Linked DNA regions of Ovis aries. The protein of the gene in region 1 purifies or fractionates together with the protein of each later gene. This does not show direct contact. Links are inferred from orthologs where the notes say so. Each region holds a gene or a part of one and is shown on either strand. Other genes may lie near its edges. The genes, in order: NFKB1, RPS3, AURKA, LRPPRC, NFKBIE, COPB2 and SPAG9.

What was found.
Region 2: the proteins of NFKB1 (region 1) and RPS3 purify together in Homo sapiens (affinity purification with western blotting; 3 studies listed by BioGRID and IntAct, with this or other methods). This does not show direct contact. The link is inferred for Ovis aries from reciprocal best matches to the Homo sapiens genes NFKB1 and RPS3.
Region 3: the proteins of NFKB1 (region 1) and AURKA purify together in Homo sapiens (affinity purification with mass spectrometry; 4 studies listed by BioGRID and IntAct, counting the BioPlex papers as one, with this or other methods). This does not show direct contact. The link is inferred for Ovis aries from reciprocal best matches to the Homo sapiens genes NFKB1 and AURKA.
Region 4: the proteins of NFKB1 (region 1) and LRPPRC purify together in Homo sapiens (affinity purification with mass spectrometry; 3 studies listed by BioGRID and IntAct, with this or other methods). This does not show direct contact. The link is inferred for Ovis aries from reciprocal best matches to the Homo sapiens genes NFKB1 and LRPPRC.
Region 5: the proteins of NFKB1 (region 1) and NFKBIE purify together in Homo sapiens (affinity purification with mass spectrometry; 4 studies listed by BioGRID and IntAct, with this or other methods). This does not show direct contact. The link is inferred for Ovis aries from reciprocal best matches to the Homo sapiens genes NFKB1 and NFKBIE.
Region 6: the proteins of NFKB1 (region 1) and COPB2 purify together in Homo sapiens (affinity purification with mass spectrometry; 5 studies listed by BioGRID and IntAct, with this or other methods). This does not show direct contact. The link is inferred for Ovis aries from reciprocal best matches to the Homo sapiens genes NFKB1 and COPB2.
Region 7: the proteins of NFKB1 (region 1) and SPAG9 purify together in Homo sapiens (affinity purification with mass spectrometry; 5 studies listed by BioGRID and IntAct, with this or other methods). This does not show direct contact. The link is inferred for Ovis aries from reciprocal best matches to the Homo sapiens genes NFKB1 and SPAG9.

The regions. Positions count from the first base shown.
Region 1 is NC_056059.1:22,569,264-22,572,763, reverse strand, and holds part of NFKB1 (nuclear factor NF-kappa-B p105 subunit), read left to right. Parts: intron 1-1,332; coding exon 1,333-1,424; intron 1,425-3,099; coding exon 3,100-3,238; intron 3,239-3,500.
Region 2 is NC_056068.1:53,317,402-53,321,676, forward strand, and holds the start of RPS3 (small ribosomal subunit protein uS3), read left to right. Parts: upstream 1-1,475; 5' UTR 1,476-1,505; coding exon 1,506-1,535; intron 1,536-2,077; exon of another isoform or gene 2,078-2,227; intron 2,228-2,372; coding exon 2,373-2,503; intron 2,504-2,774; coding exon 2,775-2,868; intron 2,869-3,749; coding exon 3,750-3,844; intron 3,845-4,275. UniProt on the Homo sapiens protein: Component of the small ribosomal subunit. The ribosome is a large ribonucleoprotein complex responsible for the synthesis of proteins in the cell. Has endonuclease activity and plays a role in repair of damaged DNA.
Region 3 is NC_056066.1:59,216,890-59,220,389, forward strand, and holds part of AURKA (aurora kinase A), read left to right. Parts: intron 1-415; coding exon 416-607; intron 608-1,376; coding exon 1,377-1,515; intron 1,516-3,500. UniProt on the Homo sapiens protein: Mitotic serine/threonine kinase that contributes to the regulation of cell cycle progression.
Region 4 is NC_056056.1:80,311,731-80,315,230, forward strand, and holds part of LRPPRC (leucine-rich PPR motif-containing protein, mitochondrial), read left to right. Parts: intron 1-2,794; coding exon 2,795-2,994; intron 2,995-3,500. UniProt on the Homo sapiens protein: May play a role in RNA metabolism in both nuclei and mitochondria. In the nucleus binds to HNRPA1-associated poly(A) mRNAs and is part of nmRNP complexes at late stages of mRNA maturation which are possibly associated with nuclear mRNA export.
Region 5 is NC_056073.1:17,751,117-17,755,358, reverse strand, and holds the start of NFKBIE (NF-kappa-B inhibitor epsilon), read left to right. Parts: upstream 1-1,442; 5' UTR 1,443-1,650; coding exon 1,651-2,018; intron 2,019-4,242. UniProt on the Homo sapiens protein: Sequesters NF-kappa-B transcription factor complexes in the cytoplasm, thereby inhibiting their activity. Sequestered complexes include NFKB1-RELA (p50-p65) and NFKB1-REL (p50-c-Rel) complexes.
Region 6 is NC_056054.1:250,348,577-250,352,603, forward strand, and holds the end of COPB2 (coatomer subunit beta'), read left to right. Parts: intron 1-1,504; coding exon 1,505-1,597; intron 1,598-1,682; coding exon 1,683-1,863; intron 1,864-2,648; coding exon 2,649-2,717; intron 2,718-2,859; coding exon 2,860-2,931; intron 2,932-3,163; coding exon 3,164-3,259; 3' UTR 3,260-3,527; downstream 3,528-4,027. UniProt on the Homo sapiens protein: The coatomer is a cytosolic protein complex that binds to dilysine motifs and reversibly associates with Golgi non-clathrin-coated vesicles, which further mediate biosynthetic protein transport from the ER, via the Golgi up to the trans Golgi network.
Region 7 is NC_056064.1:35,517,937-35,521,436, forward strand, and holds part of SPAG9 (C-Jun-amino-terminal kinase-interacting protein 4), read left to right. Parts: intron 1-666; coding exon 667-792; intron 793-1,985; coding exon 1,986-2,066; intron 2,067-2,732; coding exon 2,733-2,800; intron 2,801-3,500. UniProt on the Homo sapiens protein: The JNK-interacting protein (JIP) group of scaffold proteins selectively mediates JNK signaling by aggregating specific components of the MAPK cascade to form a functional JNK signaling module.

The DNA.
Region 1 (3,500 bases):
ACTACAAGCAGTTACCCAGCTGCTTACTCTGATGAGCATTTTCAGAGTAAGCAGCTGTATAACTGGAAACTTACCTCCTATTTAAAGAACTATGGCTTTAAAAAAAGAAAATTGTCCTTTGAGGCCAAATGCTCTGAGATAAAAAGTCAGAAAAAATGAGATCAGATTTTAAGATAAAGGTGTATGTCTTTGTCCCCAAAATGTTTACACTTTCTCTGCAGATTCTGGTATCAGCTTTCTTTTAACCAATTCTATCCAAGTAATTATGCATTTCTAGATTCCTGGGTGTGCATACTATGAGTAAACACAATCTAAGTACCTTTATTTGTAAATGTGACTCTAAGTCATCATCATTACATTGAAATGGCTAATTAAGAGAAGTTTTATACCCAGCTTAAAGAATCTGAATAACTAGGTCCAGGGTGGTCCTATGAATGTCTTACCCAACCCTAATATTTCTAAAATTCTATTTAAATAGAAATATACATTTAGTTTTTACAAGTCAATAATGTATATGCCTCCCTGTGAATGAGGACGTGAAGCCAGGGAGATGCCAACCTGAGTTATATTGTCATATTTCTGCAGGAGTAGAATCCATGACTGAAGTGTGAAATTAAGACATTCTAATTTAACCCAAAGGGTCTAGACCAACACATAATTTAGCAGTTTCTCAACAGGGACTACTAGAATATTGTAGAGAGGTAGCATAGTAGGATGTTTAAGAGCCTGGGGTCTGAACCTTCAGTGTCCGTGTTCAAATCCTGGTCTCTCCCCTTACTAACTGTTCAGCCTTAGATAAGTTACTTAATCTCTTTGAACTCCAGTTTCTCTTCTGCAGAATGAGGATATTAATAGTACATTTGCATCACAGAGTTGAAGATGAAATCAGTTAATATATGCATATAAAATCACTTAGAACAGTGTCTGCCAAATAGTAAACTTTATATAAGTTAAATATTATGTAAATCTGCATCAAGGTGAACCGTCTTTTGGGATTCTGATATTCTTCACTATCTTTCATGTTCCTGGGGAGTGAATTGGTTTAGGGTTGGAGAAGTGGGAACGTCGAAGATTGATTAAGAGAAAACTCAGATTGAATAGGTAAATCTAGAATTCTGTCCTTGTAAATGAAACTTGGGGCCCATTACTATGGTGACAAAAAAATTTTACTCAAAATTTTAAATAAATTCAGAAGTCTATTTTATATGAATTACTTTCAAAAAAAGGTTAAGTACATAGTAGGTAGACTCTAGAACCAGCTTTATTTTTCATCACATTTACGAATGCTATTATAATGTGTGAAATTATACACCTGAACGTGACTGTTTACAGATGACATCCAGATTCGATTTTATGAAGAGGAGGAAAATGGTGGAATTTGGGAAGGATTTGGAGATTTTTCCCCCACAGATGTTCATAGACAAGTAAGTGGATGATGATGGTACGGAAGATGATACTATGTTTTCTGCTTTGTTGAAATTCAGTACTTGGATCCCAAGAATAAAAAAGGAAAAATGATAAGTATTTCTTTAACTTTCATCAAAGAGCACTATGTCTTGGAGTTGTTCCAGAAAAGCTACCTAGAATTATGGGTAAAGCTCTGTCAGGATCTGATCGCCTAGATGCAAGGCTGTGACCCTCAAATCCTTAAGTAGACATGTGTTATGTATTTCACCGGTCTGTTCAGACTAATAACAAAATATCATAGACTGAGTGAATAAAACAAAAGCAGTTTTTGCTTATGGTTCTGGAGCCCATAAGTCCCAGATCAAGGTCTGACAGGGTTGGCTCCTGATGAGGGCTCTCTCCTGAGTTGGCAGACAGCCACCTTCCTGTTATGTCCTAACATGGCAGAGAGAGAAGAAGCTCTCTGGTGTCGTGTCTTTTTATTTTTCTCTTTTTTTGCTGCTTCTCCTTTTAAGACCACTAATCCTATCCAATCAGGACCTTACCTTTGTGACATCTTTTAACCTTACTTATTTCCATAAAGGCCCTGTCTCCAAATACAGCCACACTGTTGGGGCTTCACCATATGACTTTGGAGGAAACACAGTTAGTCTGTAATGGTATTCTCCCAGAGTAACCTGAGGAGACTTGTTAAAAGGGTATTCTAATGAAAAGTGTTGACAGGAGGAGTCTTCTAGTTGAGGCTGATATCATCATGATAAATTAAGATCTCCCAGGAACATTTGAGTATATGACAAAGAGATGAAAATGCTGAATCCTCAGCTTAACAATTACTCTGAGTGATTGAGGAATACAGTTTTCACACACACACAAAATGGAAAAAATCCAAGTGCCCATCAGCTAGTGACCAGTTAAGTCAATGTGAGGGGATATTGTACAGTTATTAAGAAAGCATGAATACTCTACAGACTAACGGAAAGGTCTCAAAGATACAACACTGAAATTTTTTAAAAGATAGATATGAAACAAAGTGTATATAAAAAAAGATTCTGTGTTCATGTTTACATAGCATAAAGAAACTCTGGGAGGTTCTGTGCGTAACTGTTAGATTAAACGTTAATTTTGTGGATGAAATACAACTAAATCTGACTATTCTTATACTAGCAGATATCAAGGAGGCTGTCTTAGAGGTGTTACAGATGCCCTGTGTGTGTCTAGAGCCTCGACCATCCCCACCTCACAGTTGCTGACCCAGTCACAGTGTCTCCCTTAAGGGTTTAGTTTTTCGCTGTGGTTGTTGGCTGGCCATCCTCCTCTCTCTCCTTCCATTATGTCTTTATGATATTGCTGTAAATAATCTTGGAGGCTTTTAAGGCTAATTTGGAAAAGAGGATGTATGCAATATATTTTATTCACATGGTTATTTACACTGAAAGACATTTGAAACTTTAGACAAGTGAACTAATGAGGATTTGCAGTACATTGGCATAATCTTATATTTCAATTTCACATTGGCAATATAATAAAAATATATGGGTACAGAATTCCAAGGTTGTAACTTTCTCTAGGGTGTTGTATTTTTTTTTAAGACACTGTGTCTAAGCACTGGGCATAAAGAATGTGTTTAATGAGTACCACTGCTTTAAAAGAAATGTAGTCCTACTCCAACATTTGTATCTTTGTATCCTGCAGTTTGCCATTGTCTTCAAAACTCCAAAGTATAAAGATGTCAACATTACAAAACCAGCCTCTGTGTTCGTGCAGCTTCGGAGGAAATCTGATTTGGAAACTAGCGAACCAAAACCTTTCCTCTACTATCCTGAAATCAAAGGTAACTCGGTTATTTAAACACTTGCACTTGTTCCAACAAGAGGACAGGCTGTTGAGAAAAGGTCAGGCAGTCACCTCCTTTGACCAGCCTCCTAGTAACTGGTCCTTGGGTCCATGGTACTTCTTTTTAGAGAAGAAAGAAGTAATATATGATTTTAGGGTCATAGAATTAAGTCTAGCCTTTTAAAATAATGTTATTCCCACCGAGTTTTATATGAGGTTGAGCATTTAAAATTTCGCTTTGAATTTGAGAATCTATCATT
Region 2 (4,275 bases), on another chromosome or scaffold:
CGTCACAAGGAAACTTTTTCTCTTTTTTCAATTTATTTTTGTATCTATATAAGATGATGGATGTTAACTGAATCTCTTGTGGTAATCATTTCATGATATGTGAATCAAGCCATTATGTTGTATGCCTTAAACTTATACATTGATGTATGTCAATTATTTCTCAGTAAAACTGGAAAAAAAAAAAAAAAAAAACTGTTGGGAAAATTTAAGGCGTGAAGTGTCCTGATGCCTGAAAGTAACTTTGAAATGTATCAAAAGATGCACTGTTGGGTGGATAGAGGCAAGGATAAATATCTGATAAAGCAAATACAGAAAAAAATGTTAATTGCAGCACCTAAGGGATGCATATATAGGTGTACACTGTATAGTTCTTCCAACTTTTCTGTATGTTTGAAATTTTTTGTAATAAAATCTGCGAGGGGAGATTTTTTTTAATTGAAAAAGAATTGCGAGCCATTATCGTAACTTCTGTTACAAGCTGTAACATACTTTATGAACGTGAGGTAGAGGTAATGAATTAATAATATAAAGTCCTAAAACAGTCCTTAGAATATTTAATACATATTATATATATATTATCAGTTTGCAACAGAGGAAGTGGACACAAATTGGAAGAGATAGGTGCCTCAGTGAATTTCTCTGAGGGCTTTCAGCCCAAAAGTGCTTTTACTTTTTTTCATTAAAGAATAAAGTTAGCAGATAAGTGTGTGTTTATACTTGGTTTTAAACTGATGAGAACTGGGCTCTAATTAAACTGATGAGAACTGGACTCTAAACTTCCCTGAATTTTTAAAGCTCTGATTGAGATATTGGCTCCTCTGTCTATGGGATTCTCCAGGCAAGAAAACTGGAGTGGGTTGCCATGCCCTCCTCCAGTGGATCTTCCTGACCTGGAGATCGACCCCTCATCCCTATGATCGACCCCTCACCACTCTCTCTCCTCCATTTGCAGGCGGGTTCTTTACCGCTAGTGCCACCTGGAAAGCCCAGGTTTCTGGATATTGTTGTTGTTCAGTCGCTCAGTTGTGTCCAACTCTTTGCGACCCCATGGGCTGCAGCACGCCGGGTTTCCCTGTCCATCGCCATCTCCCGGAGCTTGCTCAAACTCATGTCCATTGAGTCGGTGATGCCATCCAACTGTCTCATCCTTTGTGTCCTGCCCTTCTCCTCCTGACTTTAGTCTTTCTGAAGGCAGTATCAGGGTCTTTTCCAATGAGTCAGCTCTTTGCATCAGATGGCCAAAGTATTGGAGCTTCAGCTTCAGCATCAGTCCTTCCAATGAATACTGAGGATTGATTTCCTTTCTTCCCCAACACCTCACAGTTCAAAAGCATCAACCCTTGGACCGCGCTTTTCTCTTTCCTTTTACCAAAGTGAAAACTACACTTCCCATGAGCGCTCACAGGCGTCGACGTCGCGCAGTTCTTTGTCGTCGCACAGCGCCCTTTATACGCACTTCCGCCCGCTTGCCACTTCCTTTCCTTTCGGCGGCTCGCGTCGGCAAGATGGCCGTGCAAATTTCCAAAAAGAGGAAGGTGAGATCCCGGGGCCCGGTTGCAGGGAAGTGGCGTTTCGCGGGTCAGGAGCCTTTCTGGGTGCTATTGCGAGACTTATAGCTCTTCGCTATGCCCGGGGCAGCGGCCGGACTGTGTCGCTTTCCCGTGGGCTGCGGATGGCGGTGGATTGAGCGCAGGCCCGTGGCTGCTGAGAACGGTATGGCTGGGATAGGAGAGAAGGATTTCTGCCGGTTCCGGGCGGAGAGCAGAGATGAGCACTGAGGGCTCCTCCTGCCGTGGAGGAGCGCTTGTGAGCCTTTCTTAGTCAGTAGTTAGTAAAGTTACTAAATGTGATGTTTTGAATGCATGAGCCTTTCCCTCATCGAATGGTAGCTTTGAGAAAGGGAGGTAGCAGTGTTCGCTTGCCTTCTTCCTAGGCTTGTCTGGGTGCAGGCTTCTGACCCCAAGGACCTCAGTTTGGAAGGTTACTGACAATTTCTTGTTCTATCTTGGGGTCAAGGAAACGTTCTGGGGAAATAGAGGGAAGGGACCTGGGGGAAACGGTTTGATTATTTAAAACCCTTCAATGAAGAGGAGATGACGAGTCTGACTGGAGGTGTTCTCTTTGTCCAGGTGACCCCTACCCTGTGCCGCGTTCTGTGGCACAGTTTTAAGGGCCTGGGTCAAAGTTAACTTCCAAAAGATGACTTAGAGGCATTTGTCTGAGAAGGGTTGCTATGTTTTCTCTGGAACAAGGCAAAATAATTAATGATGGGTCGTTGGTTGGAGGTGTTGAATCTTGATTAGGGTTGCATTGACTGGGCTAGAAACCTGAGCCCATGTCCAGATCCTCATTTTCATTTTGCTTTTGGTTAGTTTGTCGCTGATGGCATCTTCAAAGCTGAACTGAACGAGTTTCTCACTCGGGAGCTGGCCGAAGATGGGTACTCTGGAGTTGAGGTCCGAGTTACACCAACCAGGACAGAGATCATCATCTTGGCCACCAGGTGAAAAATTCATTTTTCTGGCCATCACCTGTAATTGTTGTCTGCACTAAGGTGATTTCTTCTGTAAACGTAGCAGAACAACAGTTGAGTCATCGTGAATGAGTTTTTAAGCTGCATTTAAAAAAAAGATAATCTCTTAGTTCTTGTCATCCAAAATTTATGCTTTCTTGTGTCAGATGAATTAGATTTTTACTACCACACGTGTGCAAGGTTTAAAATTACATCTGTAATGTTATGAGAGCTGTGAATTGTCACTCTTCATTTTCCCCAGGACACAGAATGTACTTGGTGAGAAGGGCCGGCGGATCCGGGAATTGACTGCTGTGGTTCAGAAGAGATTCGGCTTCCCTGAAGGCAGTGTAGAGGTGAGTGATCCTGGCTTGTGCCAGAGGCTACTCTGGAGCTAGAAATGGCTCTTCAGGATGGTGCTGTGCTGTGCTTTGTCGCTCAGTCGTGTCCAACTCTTTGTGACCCCCATGGCCCCAAGGCTTCTCTGTCCATGGGGAGTCTTCCAGGCAAGAATTCTGGAGCTGGTTGCCATGCCCTCCTCCAGGGGATCTTCCCAACCAAGCGATTGAACCCAGGTCTCCCCACATTGCAGGCGGATTCTTTACCATCTGAGCCACCAGGGAAGCCCTCTTTAGGATGGTACTTCTGAAAACTCATATTATCACCCTGAAAGCTTACTTGTGATCAGTGAGTATTACAAATGGATTGGTATTTTGTTGAAGGTCTTTTAATAAGCAGTTGGCAGCAGTTTATACCTATCTTGGAATTAGTAATGATACATAGGAGAGGTTGGCTGCCCATTGATCTCCATGATTTGGCTGTGGAAAGAGGTGGGGGTGGGAGAAAAATGAGGAATGGTTCAGTTCAGTCTGCGTCCCTGAGTGTTTGTTAGATGTGGGCATTAGAAGTGCTTTAATACTTGGGTAGTACAGTGAAGGGCTTCCCAGGTGGCTTACTGGTAAGGAATCTGCGTGCCAATGTAGGAGACGCGGGTTCAGTCCCTGAGTCAGGAAGATCTGGAGGAGGGCATGGTAACCTTCACCAGTATTCTTGCCTGGAGAAGAAGAGGACCCTGGTGGGCTGTAGCCAATGGGGTTGCACACTCATCCACTAAATGAGAACAAATAGAGTGATACATAGAGGGGTGTCTGCTTGAATCATGAATGTGCTGATTTTTAGTTGAAAACGGTGGTGATGAGTGTAACAAGTTTAAGAATGTGCCTTGTTTTCTTTAAAGCTTTATGCTGAAAAGGTAGCCACAAGAGGACTGTGTGCCATTGCCCAGGCAGAGTCTCTGCGTTACAAGCTCCTAGGAGGCCTTGCTGTGCGGAGGTAAGAGTCCTTATGAATTGTGTCCTTTCGTGAATCAGTATATCAGCTATTTTGTTAATTTAGTAAGTGGACTCTGGACAGGCTCAGCTAGTCTCTGAGGGCTTTAACAATAAGACATTGTCAATCCATGTTGCAGCCTAGTTAGAAAGACTAGTAAAGACAAGTGTTTAAAAAAGCGAGTGGTGTTAGTAGAGCACGGTGGGAGTATGAATGTAGGATGGGGGTGGGGAATGGTTTGGGTTCATGTTGAAGTCATTCACATACATTGTGTGGTGGTAACTCTGGGGATTCAAGAGAGAAGACTCATTGCTGAGAAGAGAGCTTAAAATCTAGTCAGGTATGCCCAGTAGGTATTTATAGATAGTGATGTGAGGAACAGAGGACATGAGGTGGTTAGATTGGCCCCGGAGCTGGGCTTGCTGATAAGATTT
Region 3 (3,500 bases), on another chromosome or scaffold:
CTCCATCCTATTTGCTTTCCCAGAGTGGTTCTCCACCGCAGAGAGGGGTGGCGTCTCCACGTCGAGAGGAGGCCATTTGAAAGAAGTTCCCAGTTGTTTCTGGAACCTTCTTGCTTCTCCAGTTCCTCATCCAATCCTCCTGTGGTCTTAGCATTGTTGCTAATAGGTCTGTGCTCAGAGCATAGTACTGTCTCAGAACACTTCCCAGCAAGTGCCTCAGCTCCAGAAGTCCAGATTTTTCCCTGTCACAGACTCATTCAGAGGAGGCTATGGTTTGGTTCTTGCCGAGGATACGTGCTGATACCACTTTGAGTATAGAATTATTGATAGGACTGGGGTGTCTGCTACTCATTAATATACCTCATTAGAAAGGATGTGTTTTCTTCAGACTTTAAAATGTTCAATTCTTCCCCAGAAGGCAATGGGCTTTGGAAGATTTTGAAATTGGTCGCCCGCTGGGTAAAGGAAAGTTTGGTAATGTTTATTTGGCAAGAGAAAAACAAAGCAAGTTTATTCTGGCTCTTAAAGTATTATTCAAAGCTCAGCTGGAGAAGGCCGGCGTTGAGCATCAGCTGAGAAGAGAAGTAGAAATACAGTCGCATCTCAGGTAAGTCTTCAAATGGTGTCCGGGAGAGTGGCGTACAGAGCTTAGACTTCAATGTTTATGAACTTCTTTGTAGAAGGCTGGCTTCATAGTACTGCAAAGAATGACTAAATTCATCATTTTTTCAAAGATTTATCTAGACTTAACTGCTGTGGATTGGAAAAATTGCTTGAAGGTTTGTCTTGTTAATGGAGTAATTTACTGGATGAGTTTTGTTTTGTTTTGGTGGATAATTAAAGGAATGATACCTCTTATTTTGAGTTCAGGTTGCACACTGGTAGCCTATAGGTTGACTTTAGCCAGTGGATCTTTTTGTTTTCAGTGAATTTAAAAAAATCTCAGCTAGCCTGTGCTCAGCTGTCCAAAGTCCTCCACAGCACATTTGCTGCCGTTATTGAACATGGCCTGTGTTGTCTGTCTCATGGAATTTGAGTTTCAAACTACTGTGGGAATGGCACGTCTTTTTTTTTTTTTCTTTCAATTTGCGGAGACTTAATATTTAGCTGAATTCTTTCCCCCTAAGAATATAGATGGTTCAAAGGAAGGAAATAGTCTTAACTAAACCTGAGGTCCAGGTTTAATACCTTGGAATGCATGTAAATTGATAGCAGTGTACATATTTTTCTTACAGTGGGTTCATAGCTTCATATTTTCAAGGGCAGTGGAAGGTGGAATCTGTGACCAGCAGCAGTTCTCACCACTGGTTTCACATGAGGGATCTGATACTCAGTACAGATGCCCCACCATACCAGGTGTCCATCTTTCATTGCAGGCATCCAAACATCCTCAGACTATATGGTTATTTCCATGATGCTACCAGAGTCTACTTAATTTTGGAATATGCACCCCTCGGAGCTGTCTATAGAGAACTTCAGAAACTGTCAAAGTTTGATGAGCAGAGAACTGCCACGGTGAGTTTTCATTTACTGTTCAGACTAATTCTGTTTACTCTATACCTGTCCTACACAGTGCTGTACCTTTCATTATATAATAGAGGGGGTTTCGTTTCATGGAAAGCTAGCTTAGTACAGGGGTCCCTCACCTCTGGGATCTAATGCCTGATTATCTGGGGTCAGGCTGATGTAATAATAATAGAAATGAAGCACACAATAAATGTAATGCACTTGAGTCATCCCGAAACCATCTGCCCTACCCCAGGTCTGTGGAAAAATTATCTCCCACAAAATTGGTCCTTGGTACCAACACTGGCTTCAGCTCGGTTCAGTTCAGTCGCTCAGTCATGTCCGATTCTTTGCGACCCCATGAATCGCGGCATGACAGGCCTCCCTGTCCATCACCAACTCCCAGAGTTCACCCAAACCCACGTCCGAGTCGGTGATGCCATCCAGCCATCTCATCCTCGGTCGTCCCCTTCTCCTCCTGCCCCCAATCCCTCCTAGCATCAGAGTCTTTTCCAATGAGTCAACTCTTCGCATGAGGTGGCCAGATTACTGGAGTTTCAGCTTTAGCATCATTCCTTCCAATGAACACCCAGGACTGATCTCTTTCAGAATGGACTGGTTGGATCTCCTTTCAGTCCAAGGGACTCTCAAGAGTCTTCTCCAACACCACAGTTCAAAAGCATCAATTCTTCAGCACTCAGCTTTCTTCACAGTCCAACTCTCACATCCATACATGACTACTGGAAAACTATAACCTTGACTAGTTGGACCTTTGTTGGCAAAGTAATGTCTCTGCTTTAGAGTATGCTATCTAGGTTGGTCATAACTTTCCTTCCAAGGAGTAAGCGTCTTTTAATTTCATGGCTGCAGTCACCATCTGCAGTGATTTTGGAGCCAAAAAAATAAAGTCTGACACTGTTTCTACTGTTTCCCCATCTATTTGTCATGAAGTGATGGGACCAGATACCATGATCTTCGTTTTCTGAATGTTGAGCTTTAAGCCAACTTTTTCACTCTCCTCTTTCACTTTCATAAAGAGGCTTTTAGTTCCTCTTCACTTTCTGCCATAAACGTGGTGTCATCTGCATATCTGAGGTTATTGATATTTCTCCCGGCAATCTTGATTCCAGCTTGTGTTTCTTCCAGCCCAGTGTTTCTCATGATGTACTCTGCATAGAAGTTAAATAAGCAGGGTGACAATACGCAGCTTTGACGTACTCCTTTTCCTATTTGGAACCAGTCTGTTGTTCCATGTCCAGTTCTAACTGTTGCTTTCTGACCTGCATATAGGTTTCTCAAGAAGCAGGTCAGGTGGTCTGGTATTCCCATCTCTTTCAGAATTCTCCACAGTTTATTGTGATCTGCACAGTCAAAGGCTTTGGCATAGTCAATAAAGCAGAAATAGATGTTTTTCTGGAACTCTCTTTCTTTTTCCATGATCCAGCAGATGTTGGCAATTTGATCTCTGGTTCCTCTGCCTTCTCTAAAACCAGCTTGAACATCAGGAAGTTCATGGTTCATGTATTGCTAAAGCCTTGCTTGGAGAATTTTGAGCATTACTTTACTAGCATGTGAGATGAGTGCAATTGTGCGGTAGTTGAGCATTCTTTGGCATTGCCTTTCTTTGGGATTGAAATGAAAACTGACCTTTTCCAGTCCTGTGGCCACTGCTGAGTTTTCCAAATTTGCTGGCATGTTGAGTGCAGCACTTTCACAGCATCATCTTTTCAGGATTTGAAATAGCTCAACTGGAATTCCATCACCTCCACTAGCTTTGTTCGTAGTGATGCTTTCTTAAGGCTCACTTGACTTCACATTCCAGGATGTCTGGCTCTAGGTGAGTGATCACACCATCGTGATTATCTTGGTCGTGAAGATCTTTTCTGTACAGTTCTTCTGTGTATCCTTGCCACCTCTTCTTAATATCTTCTGCTTCTGTTAGGTCCATACCATTTCTGTCCTTTATCGAGCCCATCTTTGCATGAAATGTTCTC
Region 4 (3,500 bases), on another chromosome or scaffold:
TACAACATACCCGTTCTAGACTGCATGCATGCCCAGTTGCACAGTCATGTCTGACTCTTTGCGACCCCATGATGGACTGCCAGGCTTCTCTCTCCATGGAGTTTTCCAGGCAAGAATACTGGAGTGGGTTACCATTCCTCCTCCAGGGGATCTTCCCAGCCCAGGGATCAAACCTGTGTCTCTTGCATCTTCTGTGTTGCATATAGGTTCTTTACCACTGCACCACCTGGAAGCCCTAGCTACAGAATTCTTTTTCTTTCAGGGTGTGTTCAAGTGAATTTAAAAACAAATTGTGACTCAAATAAAAAAAGGTAGAAAACACAGTCCTACGAGGAAACACTGGAGAATCCTTTTGAAGAGTGAAGAATCCTTCGGTTTAAATATGTAACCCTTCTCCCCAGTTTATTTTATAGCAGAATCATATTTTGACTTAATAAAGCTAAACACACTTACACGTGAAAGAGATTTGACAGCATTAAAGATTTGTGAGAAAAAAAATAGCTTTAGAACGTTCAAAAAAAAAAGAACGAACGTTCAGTCTACTGTGCTGGTTTATTAACATCTCTGTTTTCTCCCTGAACTTTGTTTGTTCGATGTTACATGTTAAAACTGCATTTTGAGGAGAGGTTTTATTTTTATGCTCCTCCACAGTTTATCAGATTTGGCTTGTATTAAAAAAACATCGACAAATACTGCACTTCACTATGGTTTTTAAAAACTTTATTTTTATTTATTTGGCTGTTCCAGGTCTTGGTTGCAGCACTCTGGGTCTTTAGTTGTGACATGTGGGGTCTAGTTCCCTGACCAGGGATCAAACCCAGGCCCCCTGCCTTGGGAGCACGGAATGTTTGCCACTGGACCACCAGGGAAAGCCCCAATTTTTAAAAGATTTATTTTTATTTATTTGGCTACTTGGGGCACACAGACAGGGTCTTCGATCTTAGTTGCAGCATGTGGGATCTAGTTCCCTTGACCAGGGAGCGAACCCAGGTTCCCTGCTTTGGGAACAGAGTCTTAGCCACTGAGCCAGCAAGGAAGTCCCTTCACTATGATTTTGAAATCTCTCTTATTTAGCTTTCATTGGTGAGCAGTATTTTACACTCATCTGAACCTGACACATTGTTCTGAGTGATTTAAAATATTTTGTGTTTGCCTAACTTGGGGATAGGTTATTAATAACTGATCTCCTAGAAGGGGTAAATACATGTAGCAATATGTAGCAGTGTATCTTCTATGGTTCATAGGTAAAAACCTAGTATTCATTTCATTTAACTAGCTTTAATCAATTAGCCATCTACAAGTGCTGATCATTAGATTTCCTAATTAAGCAAGATGACATTGTTTTTAGTTAGTATTCTGATATTTTCCGTTGTTTTCCAGTCTGCTGTTTTACATCAGGTGGAATCATTGATGGCCAGAGTGGTTGTGTTTTGTCCCGGGTCCTGGTGGTAGAATTTCTAGTTGGATATTGATTACTGCCTCTGTGTTTTGCTTAAACTTGTGAAACTACTGGTGTTACTTTCTTTAATGTAACATTATGTAACATTAAGTTTTGTGATTTGTTTTTCAGGTTAGTAGCATAAGAAGTCAACAATTTTATTTTTAAACTCATGAGCATGTATTTACTTTGGTAATTGACTGTTCAGTTCAGATGCTCAGTCGTGTCTGACTCTTTGCAACCCCATGGACTGGAGCATGCCAGGCTTCCCTGTCCATCACCCACTCCCAGAGCTTCCTCAAACTCGTGTCCATTGAGTTGGTGATGCCATCCAACCGTCTCATCCTCTAATTGACTGTGGTTAAAAAAAAAAAAAAGTAACATGTTAAAAAAACGTGATTGTCATCGTAAGGGCTTTCTTGAATTAATAAGTAGAGTGTTTTTACATTATTACTTAGTTAATATATACTTAGTGTGTATTCTTTAGTTATACTTACTGGCTACTTCTGAAAATTTGGGGGTAAATGTGTAAATCTGCAAATTAGATGATTTTATGTGAGATTGGAATGTATAGGAAGTTCAGGTTTAAAGATATATGACAGGGCTTCCTTCACACGTAAGGATTATTTCCGTTTCATGTTTGTAAATCAGGTACAGCCTGTATTTCTACAGTGTGAAATACCTCTGATTTCATGTTTTGGCCTGCATGTTAGACCTGCTTTATTAAATGGTTTAAGGGTTGTTTGCTTTTTGTAAATACGTATGCTAGTCTGACCTTTATTAACTTTTTTTTTTTACTTAAATGTTTCAGATTTATTTAGAAAGATGGGGAATACTTTTATCATTAATGATCCTTTAAAAAACTGCATATTTGGAAATGGGTCTTATTAATAGTTCAATATCTACACCTAGAAAATGTTCAAAGAGTGCTTTAGAATTCTTCACAATTTTAGGTATATTTTAGATCTCTTGTTCATTTGTAGAGGTTAGAAAAGCTTTGTAGCATAATCTTCATTTTTCTTCATTAACTTGGTTTTGGATAAGGGAGATTTAAAAACATACCATATTATTGTCTTAGTTTGAGATGATTCCATGTGGGAGGTTATCGAGAGACATTGTGAGACAGTTATTCAAGAGGTTATTTTGCATACAATTTATGTGCTTGTGATTTTATTTAAAGCAAAGGTCAAAACTTTCTTCCCTACCAATTTATACTTCTGGACATTTTTGCTATTACGCTATGAATTTAGGTATTCAGTAACTAATAAAAAAGCTTTGTATAAATTTTACTCACAAAGATGACCTATGTGGATAGTAGTTGACATAGTTTATTACTAATTGTGTTTCATTTTGTAGAGGTCTACTGAGCCAAGCTAGGCTACATTCCATTGCTGCTGAAAAAAAGAATTATCTTCAGGAGGAGCCCACCTCTTCTCATAGGAGGAATGCCAGCCAATTTGATTGGGCTTTAATGAGGCTAGATAATTCTGTCCGAAGAACTGGCCGCATCCCTAAGACTCTTCTACAAAAAGTCTTTGATAACACCTGTCATTCAGGTATTTCAAAATTTTCTATTCAAAAAGTTGAACTTAAATTCTGGTTTGATGGTAAGCTCATTACGGAGCACATTGTTTGGTACTTTAAATTTTGTCATTTCTATTTGTGATTTTATGTTATGGTTGTGGTTTTTTTTTTTTTTTTTTTCCAATTCAACAGAGCAAAGTTTTGAGTGAAGCATTTTGTTTTGCATGTTTATTTCAAAATCAGCAAATAAAAATTGTCTTTCCCCACAGTTTATAAAAGAATCACTTTCAGTGGTAAATTTTCTTGGAAGATACTAGTTTTTATCTTCTCTTGCATAGTGTCTGCTTTCCCTAAGATGGTCATGTATGAAAATTTCCAGAAAGACTGAAGACTGATAATCATTATTTCACTTTCATTTTCACTTAGCTGTTAACATTCAAGTCACTTATGCAACTTTGATAATCTGATAGAAACTTATAGGCCCTCAAGTCCCCTCCCCCCAACCCCCCCAAAAAAACCGGACCACACAGGCTCACAC
Region 5 (4,242 bases), on another chromosome or scaffold:
GCCTTCAGGGGGGGATGGAGACCAGTGGGTCACCTCCTCCCAACTGTCCTCCCCTCTCCTTTCTCCCTCCACTCACCCCCTTCCCAGAAACTAGGTACTTCTTCCCAGCCCTCTTCCCTTCTCATTTCCAGTTCAAATGGAACCTCCTCTACCGCTCACCCCATTGGGTAGTTGGCCCCATGTTGTGCCCCTCCAGCGTCCTGTTCTCACGCCTATCTTAGCCCAATCACTCTGAGTTGTAACTGCTAGGGGGTTTTGAAGGCTGGAACCATGGGACAGTTTTTTTTATGTTTGTTTGTTTGGGGGGGGATGGTAGTTGTTGGTTATTACTGTTACTGTGAGCCTCCGTTTTGCTTCCAACAGAGAGAACAATGTCAGGCATATAGAAGAAGCTCCTTACATGTCTATCAAATGGATGAATAAAATGAGGTTTCATGGGGAGGGTGGGAGGGAAACTGGTTAGTAGCTGCGTGTTCACACCCTAGCTTCCTTCCTTCAAAGCCAGAGTTGGGAAAGGGAGATGTTTTCTTGGGGGGGATTTTTCTAAGAGCATTTCTGGAACTTGGGGTAGGGGATAAATCTTGGGCAGCTGATTTGGGGCTCACCACGTGGGTGGGATTTGCCTACAGCCTCCTGAGGCTAGGCCCAGGGAAAATAGGGATGGGGAAAGGGGAAAGATGTGCTGGTATTAGGGCTGAGGCTGCCAAGGGGACCTCAGCAGAGTGCTGCCCAGAATGTCTGGGGCCTCCCCATCCTGGCCCCACCATGAGGAACTACACTTCCCCAACCAGATGCTGTTACTGTCTGAGACCAGTATTTTATCCCTGTGAGGAATGACCACTCTGCTTTTTTAGACCACAGGCTTTTCAACAGAAAAACCACTTGCGAAGAGCACATCCTCATGTCCAATTCTATGTGATCTGAAAAACTGGCACAGGAGACTCTGTCTCCAGAACCCAAAGGGAGAACTCCTTTAAAGACATGGGTGTCCCCTTTGGCTCCGGGAAAAGCAACAGAAATTGAGAGTAGTGGGCCGGGGACAGGTAGCAACGCTTCCCCGTCCCACCTCCCACGTGCCCTCCCCAGAAGACGCCCAGCTTGTGCAGACGATTAACATATATTCCTCTTAAACGAAAGAATAAATGAATGGGAAAATGAATGAAGAAAACAGAGGAAGTGAAGGAAGGAAAGAAAGAATGCAGGGAATTCATACATGGAATGAAGGGAGGGGGAAAGAGTGAATGAATGGACGGTTGGATGAATGAATGAACGGGTGAGTTAACGCAAGAGTGAGTCAGGACCGGGGAACCCCTGACTCCGAGCCAAAGCAGAGGGCGGGGTAAGGGGGATTCCGAAGGGCGGGGCGTCCGTCCGGAAGCGCGGCGCCTGCCGGGGGCGGGGCCTGAGGGCGGGGCGAGCGAGCGCGTCTGACTGCGCTGCCCAGTTGCCCCGAGTAGCGGCTGCCGCGGACCCCGCCGGCGCTCGGAACCTCGTCCACGCTTCTCGCCGAGCCGCTCAGCCCAACCCGCAGCCCGGAAAGGAGGCCATTTCGGGTCCAGCACCCGCTCTGTGAGGCGGACCTGCAACCCGGAAAGGCGGCGAGGAGTCGGATCCTCCTGGGACCGGGCCCGGCGGGCCGGCGCCGCGGGGATGTCGGAGGCGCGGAAGGGGCAGGACGACACCGATGAGAGCCAGTATGACTCGGGCATCGAGTCTCTGCGCTCCCTGCGCTCCCTGCCCGAGTCCACCCCGCGCCCAGCCTCGGGGCCCTCAGAGGGCGGGGGCCCCCAGCCCTGGACTCATCCTCCGGGAACCGCCAAGGAGCCAGAGGACAAGGAAGACACGGACGGGGAGCGGGCTGACTCCACCTACGGCTCCTCATCGCTCACCGAGCCCCTGTCCTTGTCGGGGGACCCCAGGACCGAGGGCGCAGTTCCAGACTCCCCGCTCCGCGCCGCCGGGGCGCTGAGCCCTCAGCAGCTGGAAGCACTCACGTACATTTCCGAGGACGGAGACACGTGAGTATGGGGGCTAGGCTAAGAGAGGACCCCTTCCTCCGCCCCGATGCTAACTCGGGGCCTTCTCCAAGAGCCGTAACAGGCCGGGCATTCCCTATGTGGGGATCCCTAAAGGCACCAGCTCTGGAAGGGGCGGTCCCCACTCTCTCTTTCAAACTGAACTCTCAACCCACTTTTGAGCTGTATCCAGACCCAGTCCAGAGGACCTGGCATCGTCTGTCTGCCCCACCTTTTGGCAGGGCCCTCACCAGCACCTGGAACCCCAGCTAGCATCTTGGAAATCTACCAGTAACCCATCCTGGGGAAGAGAAAATTCCCCTGACCAGCCCAGTTTTGTTTTGTTTTGTTTTTCTCGCTGGAGGACAGAGCATCCTTGTTTGCTTAATATCTGGGATTCCCGGCCTCTGACCTCAGAATGCCCTGTCTCAAAGAACAAGAGGGGCCAGTGACAGGCTGCCGGTGGGCCCAGGAAGCTGGGGTCTGAGGTGCTGCCAGGGGTGCATGGCTGAGGCTGGCCTGTGGAGTCAGTGAGCCAGGCTGGGGCACTCTTGCCCCAGCAGACAGATAGGCGGCTGGCTACCCCAGCTAACTTCCTCCTCTGTTGAGAAAGGGGAAGTGAGGGCTAGAGTCAGCCTTACCGACACTCTCCACCTCCTGAGCCCTGCAAATCCCCCTCACTGTCATATGTGACCCCTTCACTTCATCCTTCCTCCCCAGGCCCAGGTGGAGCTTGGTGGAGACTGGGCTGGGGCGGGGCCGGGGGGAGGGGTGGTCAGAGAGGCAGTTGTGTGGTAGGGGCTGGCCAGGTGAGGATTCACCCCTCAGGAAGAAAAGATGGATGAGAGAGGGGGTGGCTGGGATTTGGGGATGGGAAACAGAGTGGAGGGGGGCTGGGGTCCTGGATCTGGGCTGCTGGAATGAATGGGGAGGAGGAAGCAGGAGCTGTCTGTCTTGATCTGCTTTTTTGGAGATGCAAAGGTCCTGGGTGGCCTCTGACAGAGACAGACTCTGGACCCACTGGGTGACCCTAGGCCTTTTTGTCCTCTGTACCTAGAGATCACCAGCCCTCAGGCCTACAACCAAGATTGTGCAGGCCCTGTGCAGAGTACCTGTGGTTGACCTTTGACCCAGGGAGTGGAGGCTTCTGCCCTGCCCCCCTTGCTTAGCCTCTCAGCCCCAGCTTTAATCGCCTCTAGTTAGAGACAGGTGTGGAATCTAGACCCGGTGGGGGCGGGAGGGAGGTGTCAAGACCCCCCAGAGGGTTCCCTGAGAGGAGAGGGCGCTTTCTTCCCTCCGGAGGTGTCTGGGCTGTGGACATGTGGAAATGGGAAGAGGAAGTGGGAGGAGGGAGACTGAGGGAGAGAGGGAGGTGGCTGCAGGAATGTGACCAGAGAGCAGGCCCTGGCCGAGGGGATTTCCAGCGCGGTTCCTCCCTCCCTCCCTCCGTCACTCTCTCCTGGGCCTCGCCAGCCACCAAAGCCTGCCCCCCCTGCCCCAAGCAGCCCCCTCCCCAACCCAGACGGGCCTTTCAGCCAGGCTTCCCCCTGACGAATGCCCCAGCAGCTGCCTGCCCCGGCCTAGACCCTCTGGCTCTGGCTTTCATTTTCCCCACCTGACGTGGGGAAACCCCAGGGCTGGAACTTCCCCTCCTGTCCGCCCCAGGTTAAGGCTCTTTATCCCCCACCCCAGGCACACATTTTCTGCACTGCACAGTCCTCCCCGCAGAGGCACACACAGGAGCGGGGGCCCAGCTCAGGCTCCGTCCCAGCCCTGCAGAATGGCCTCTGGCTGTCCCGTGGAGAGCAGCAGGACAGAGCGCTGCCCTGTCTCCTTGCTCCTTTTCCAAGAGCTTCTGTCTCCTCTCTTTTGGGAGGTGTTCATGAGGGGACAGAGGGTGACCCCACCCCTGCCCTCTCTGCCCTCCCCATGAAGGGGGCAGAGGTGGGGAGCCCAGCCCTGGAAACCACCTCTGTGCTACCCCAGCGGCTTTCAGTTTGGCTTTGAGCTGCAGCTGCCTGGTGGGGGCCCCAGGGGGCCAGAGGGGAGCGGGGTGTGGGCAGGGTGGACAGGAAGGACCTTGTCCCGTCAGCACCCTGCCCACATTCTCACTCAGCCAAGGCCCTCCCAAAGGCCAGAGATGGGAACTTGGAGCTTCCACCCTCAGGATCCTGGCTTCCCGCAGCAACCCTCACTTCCTGGCCCAAACTCTCACTTCCTGCACCTA
Region 6 (4,027 bases), on another chromosome or scaffold:
GTGATTTTGCCCAAATTGAATGATCTGTTTACAACAAAAATTAAGGGGGATCAGGATGCCAGTTACTAGTTACTAACTAGTAACTAGATTTGCATTTAAAGCATTAAAATGTCATATATTTTCAAAAGTGTAGCAGTTAGTACATATCAGATCTTTTCATTAGTTGACCATTATGGAATAAAATGCAGAAGTGTTCATTAATTTTGCCTTACAGACTTTCTGAACCTCACAGTTAATCATAAAAACTTTGAATGTATATGTATTTTATAACATATGTATGCATACATTTATATACCTGTGAGAAAAGGTCTGCGCTTCCCTGGTGGCTCAGTAGTAAAAGAATCTGCTTGCCAATGCTGGAGACATGGGTTAGATCCCCGGGTTGGGAAGATCCCCTGGAGAAGGAAATGGCAACCCACTCCAGTATTTTTGCCTGGTAAATCCCATGGCCAGAGGAACCTGGTGGGCTTCAGCCCATGGGGTTGCAAAAGAGTTGGACACGACTGAGCAACTTACAAGAATAGGTCCACTATTTGCTTTTTGGCTGCGCCAGTCTGTCGCTGAGCAGGGGCTTTCTCCAGCTGCAGCAAGCAAGGGCCTCTATAGGTGTGGGGCACTAGCTTCTCACTGTGATGGCTTCTCTCACTGGGGAGCAGGGACTCGAGAGCATGGGGGCTTCCATAGTTGTGGCACATGGGCTCAGCTGCCCTGCAACGTCTCCCCCCTGCATTGGCAGGCAGATTCTTAACCATTGGACCACCAGGGAAGTCTGGTCTATTTCTTATCAATCATTCAAAAACCCAGAAAATTCTGAAGCGAGTATTTGGTGGCATAATCAGACCTAAACTCTTAAGTTATTAGTTGTTCTTATGTTTTTATGCCACTTGGTGTGTTTTTATTGTATTTAGTAGTCACATGTTTTTTGCAGAATATTAACGTTTGTGACTTTGGTGCTGAGGATGTTATGCAATGTATGGCATATTACTTTGTAAAATCCAAGTATTACCTTTTTAAAATCAAAAAAATTCTTAATTCTAAAACACATTATCCACTTTATCGAACTTACACAGGAAAAAAATGGAAATAAAATGGACATTTGGATATTTTCCTACTGGGCACCACTGCATTGTCCAGCACTGTTCATCTTAGAGATGCTGCCCTCAATAATATACTTGTGAAACAGAGTTTCTCCTTTGTATCTCCTGAAGCCCTTAAATGTGTTCGTATCAGCTACCTTGTCTTAAAAAGCCCCTTTAGAGTCTGCCTAGGACAGTTAAGGAGATTGAAAATGGTCACAAAAGCTGTCTTATTTCTCACACTGCTGGAGTCTATTTTGTAGCTCACTGGTGATAAGTTAATGGCTCAGTGACAGAAAAGAGGTATACATGTGGGAGCTGGAGAGGGAATGCTGACTTTGCAGCACTAAATTCACATTTCTCTAATGTGCTAAGTGCCATCATTACAGCATTTATTTGTGGTAACAGTGCCTGTCTTTAATCTGTAGGCTTGATGCTTGCCTGGAGCTTTTGATTAGAACTGGACGACTGCCAGAAGCTGCCTTCCTGGCACGGACTTACCTACCCAGTCAGGTTTCAAGGTACAGACTTTTCATTTTGGGAGGAAATACTTCAGATAAAAACAGAGTCCTTACCAATCTCCCTCTGGTTCCATATCTGTAACAGGGTGGTGAAACTCTGGAGAGAAAACCTCTCAAAAGTCAATCAGAAAGCAGCAGAATCCCTTGCTGATCCAACAGAATATGAAAACCTTTTCCCTGGATTAAAGGAAGCCTTTGTTGTAGAAGAATGGGTGAAGGAAACGCATGCCGACCTCTGGCCAGCCAAACAATACCCTCTTGTCACGGTGAGTGCCTGGGGCGCCTAATTTTGTGTAACTACAAGTAGAAGGGCATTCACAACTTAAGGTTTTAAACTGTACCATCACTTCATGGGAAATAGATGGGGAAACAGTGGAAACAGTGTCAGACTTTATTTTTTTAGGCTCTAAAATCACTGCAGATGGTGACTGCAGCCATGAAATTAAAAGACCCTTACTCCTTGGAAGAAAAGTTATGACCAACCTAGATAGCATATTCAAAAGCAGAGACATTACTTTACTGACTAAGGTCCGTCTAGTCAAGGCTATGGTTTTTCCTGTGGTCATGTATGGATGTGATGGTTGGACTGTGAAGAAGGCTGAGCACCAAAGAATTGATGCTTTTGACCTGTGGTGTTGGAGAAGACTCTTGAGAGTCCCTTGGACTGCGAGGAGATCCAACCAGTCCATTCTGAAGGAGATCAACACTGGGATTCCTAAACTCCAGTACTTTGGCCACCTCATGCGAAGAGTTGACTCATTGGAAAAGACTCTGACACTGGGAGGAATTGGGGGCAGGAGGAGGAGGGGATGACAGAGGATGAGATGGCTGGATGGACATGAGTTTGAGTGAACTCCAGGAGTTGGTGATGGACAGGGAGGCCTGGCTTGCTGCGATTCATGGGGTTGCAAAGAGTCGGACACGACTGAGTGACTGAACTGAACATACGTTTTGGTTTAATTGAGAGCTAGTATTTGGGATTTGGGCTAAGTTCATAGATGAATTATACTTTCAGAATATTTCATTTCATCATTGCTTCATTCCCTGATAGCCAAATGAAGAAAGAAATGTTATGGAAGAGGCAAAAGGCTTTCAGCCCTCAAGATCTGCAGCTCAGCAGGTCAGTGGACTACTACACAAGATAGTCTGGTTGAGATTTGTTGATTTTAAGTACCATCTCCCACTTCCTAATCCCGATTAGTTTTCCCTTTGGGAAAAACTTCAAATTCCTGAACAAATTCCTTTGTTTTGTGGATTTTCAGGAACTTGACGGGAAACCTGCTTCTCCTACTCCTGTTATCGTGACCTCCCAGACAGCCAACAAAGAAGAAAAGGTATTGACATACCCAGCTTCCCAGTGGACGCCAGCCTCACCCTCTCGCCACGTGAACGTGTGCTAGCTGTGCAGGCCTGTTTTAAGTGATGTAATCAGTTTCAGAGCAGGAGCTTTGAAATGGAAAGATACACTTTTCTGACTGTTGGTTTAGTTCTCTTTGGATCATGAGTCACAGGTAACTTTTCTTTAACACAGTACTATAGAACTCACCCTCTTCCTTTTGTTTGCAGAGTTTACTTGAGCTGGAAGTAGATTTGGATAATTTGGAATTAGACGATATTGACACAACAGATATCAACCTGGATGAAGATATTTTGGACGACTAAATAATGTTTCCTGTTTACTTAGCTAAACAGATCATTATTATGGACAGGTACTGATCGTCACCCTGACCACCATGCTTTGGACTCTGAGAAACTCCTTACATTTTTTATATATAGACGTTGTTGCCCACTAGGAGCACAATCCCCTCATCTTCGGAGGAGTTTATGTGCAGCATCTAAATCACTGTTCCCTTATTAACTAAAACAGCTGTGGGCTTTGATTTTTTTCATACTGTCATTGGACCATATCTCATAAAATCCTTTGAATTAATGAAGATACTTCAGAGTTTCCTTTCTGCAGAATGAAAACAGGATTCGAGTTTGGCTGAGCCAAAACTACACCTTTTCTAGGTATCAGCCCATGTTCTCTTCTCTTTGAATAACTATTTTCAAATAGCATCACTCATATTTTTCTTAGAATTGAGTATCTGTGCTATAATTTTCTAAACTTTCCCTTGACCTCACTGCATTATTCCCCTCATTCTATGTAGCTTTCTTATGCCTTCCTCTGACTTTGTCTGGTAGTACCTATTTCTAGAGTCAGCTCCCCTGACCTCATTAAGCTGGGCTGTTTAAATTACCAACTGACCCATTTGGTAACACAGAGACATAGTACTTTTTTTTCTTTCTTTTTATGCTGTACTCATCTGACATGATTAGAGAAATTCATAACCAGGCATTTAAATATACTTCTTGGTTATCCTCTCATAGCCTCGGAAAGTGAGTGGAGTAAACAGTTTTTTCTTTGTATTTCTGATAGAGGCACTATTT
Region 7 (3,500 bases), on another chromosome or scaffold:
GAATTTGATAGCCCAGTTATGCTTTTTTTTTAAACTAACTGTCCTCTGACAGTCCAAAGAAATAAAGTTTGGGGATAGAATAAAAGCATGTTTCAGTTTATTTATTTTAGAACATTGTTTATAATTAACCCTCCTGTGATGTCTGTGTGTGTGTGTGTGTGTGTGTGTGTGTGTGTGTGTGTGTGTGTGTAGGTATGTATGTGTAGTTTTAAAACAAACCATCTCTCCTCCTTCTATCCGCACAGAAGAAACTCATAAAATTCAAGATAACTATAAGAGAGAATTAACTTTAGTCTGGATATTAACTGCTATATTTCGTTACTGTGTCTTATTTCCCTTTTCTGTGCCTTGAACCTCCTAGTATGTCAGTGTTACTTCTGGTACAATTGCTGCAATATATATATTTATATACCTTTCACTCCTTTCTATTCTCCCTCCCGTCCGCCTCCCATTGCCTTGCCTTGCCTAGCTGCCTGTCTGCCTGCCTGCCTTCCCTCCACCCTCCCTCCCTCCCTTTCTCACTGTCTCTGAAATGTTTAATATAATCATCTAACTTTGGCTTTACTGGAATTTATTTTTTTAACAGTACACTAAAATGTAAAAATTATCAATTCCTGAAAACTGTAGCTAAACACAATAAGATTTTTTTTTCCTTTTTTCCCACAGTAATGACTCAGATGCATATAAAGATCAAATATCAGTATTGCCAAATGAACAAGACCTGGTGAGAGAGGAAGCCCAGAAGATGAGTAGCCTTTTACCAACTATGTGGCTTGGAGCTCAAAATGGGTGGTAGGTATCAAATCTTTTTAATATTAGAAATCTTAAGTCTTTCAATTTTGCTTTAGAAATCTTAAGATAATTAAAATGTGCTACGTACAAATACAAACAAAAAGTGCCTATTAAAGTGAAGAATTTTATATACACACAATTTTGAAGTTATATTGCAACTACCTCATAACTTGGACTTGGACTTGCATTGGTTCTGAGTGGTGAACCGTATGTTTGTCATAGGATGTTTCCTTCATATAATATTCTTGGGAAAAAAGTTAAGTAAACTTAAAAATCTGGGTGATCTAAAAATAAGAGATCCTGTTGTTCAGGAAATAAAAGGGATTAAAAAAATCTCGGGCTGCAGAAAGGCCTAATTTTAAACATAACTTCTGGGAAAACAAGGACAAATCACAGTCTAAAAGCTTAGGAGTTGATAAACACTATAGGACTTTTCCACTTTGTAGTAGTGTGAAGAGTCTTACAAACTTGTGCTTTTCCTAAGGTTAAACGAAATCACTAGTGGATCTTTCCCATAAAGGACTAATACTACAAAATGAAGGTTTGACGTACGTTTCTCTATGAAGGGTCAGACAAGAAATATATCAGGTTTTGTTGCCTTATGATCTTTGTAGCAACTTATTAACTATGCTGTTGAGGTGCAAAAGCAGCCACTGCATTGACAATACCTAAGTGAACTGGTGTGGATATGTTCTAATAATAATAAAACTTATGAACACTGAATTTCATATAAGTCTTGTATGTCATGAAATACTCTCCTTTTGGTTTTTTTTTTTCCCAACCATTTAAAAAATATAAAGACCATTTTTAGCTTGAGACTGTACTAAGACAGGTAGATGGCTGGATTTGGCCTATGGGCCTTAGTTTGCCGCTCCCTGATGTAAACCGCTCTATTATCAGAAATTTATAGCTCAGTAAGAAGACTATTTTTTTAAAAGATTGATAGCCAAGGATTCTGAAGTATGTGGTAATCTGAAACCAACCATGCGTTAGTTCTGGCTTTTCCTTCTTTTTATGTTTCTGTTTGCTTAAGCAGCTTATTTCTCTGCCTTAGGCCTATCCTTTCCTTGTTTTGTCCTGAAATTTTTATGTTACTCTTCTTTTCTTTTGAAGAAACTTTGTGTCATTATTAGATATAAGCAACTACTTGATGTGTTCTCTATGCCTTACCAGTCTTGATTTTGTTCTTGCAGTTTGTATGTCCATTCATCTGTAGCCCAGTGGAGGAAATGTCTCCATTCTATTAAACTTAAAGATTCGATTCTCAGTATTGTGTAAGTTTTATTTTAGAAATTCTTCCTTTGAAAAATATGTATTTTGGTATAAACTAGATTCTAAGACTATTAAAGTTAACATGTACTTCATGACTAAATCAGTATCCATGTCTTTTTTAACCCTCTTTATGAATGAGATTAAAACTAGAAAATAAACCAAGTAATTTTAAGTAGAAGAGAAAGCTTTCTAGGTTGATTCCTCACTGTTCTGAGAGTTCTTTAGCCTGTTGGTGAGAAAACCAATTAAAACCCGTGATATTTGTTTCAGAATATTCTTTACACTTTGTGAATATGCTGATTGGGTGATTGATTTACCAGTCCTTTTCTGTATGTTGACTGTGAAAAGTCAGTTTGTCTCTTAGATCCACAGAGCTGACTCTTTCTACTCAAGGTGTGTGCCTCTGGTCTGTGGACCTTTTGTCTGCAATGAGAGGAGGTTAGAAAGTGAAACAGCTGAGTCACCACACATGCTTCCTATTGAGTCCAGCTGACATTTTCATAACGAGACTTTTCTCAATGAAGAAAAGAATCTGTTCCTTTAGATTCTCCTGTAAGCTCCTCACATCACAGATTGGTCTTCTGAGAACCTCTGAACTAGTTCAGCAGCGTGTGGTGTCTTCTGCACTCCCAAATGGAGAGTTCTAAGACCCCCTTTCCTGTTTGCAGACATGTGAAAGGAATTGTGTTGGTGGCCCTGGCTGACGGCACCCTTGCAATCTTTCACAGAGGAGTTGGTGAGTTTCATGAATATGTAACATGTGTGCTGATTCGTTGCTTTGCAAGAGCATGTTCAAACATATTGACCTCATATGTTTTAAAGAAATGATATTTCATAGAAGAAAGAATAAAGATTTAAACTGAATACTAACCATGTATGAAATGAGTAAATATGTGAGTGCCTGACTGGAGGCATACATTAATCATACACCTCAGTGAAAATTTGTTTACCATACTGAGCAAATAGTCCTTATGGTCCTCTTAAATAATGTGCAATGGAAGTATTTATTTGTTTTATTTGTTTTCTAATCATAGGCCTAATTTAGTGAGAGTACATGGTTTCTTTTGTCCAGTATTTTAAAAGTAATTTGCATTCACTTACATTTGGAATGTTCTTGAAAAGAATTTTTAATTAGCTAAAGTTTAATCATTTTCTTGTCATGTTTTTTATATTCTTCCCCTTTAAAGTAGTGTTTCTACCATCTGCAGACAGAAGGTGTCAGAAAACTGCGCTGAGTGAATTTAAGAAATTGAGTATATAATTCCTTGGTACATGTATAGTCCAAAAGTGATATTTCCTTCCTACTAGATTGGTAGATCAGGGAAATATAAAAATATAGATCCGATATGAGACTTTGGAAAAGCCTTGCAAAAATTAATTTTTTATTTTATTAATTAATTTTTGCAAGGCTTTTCCAAAGTCTCATATCTTTTTGC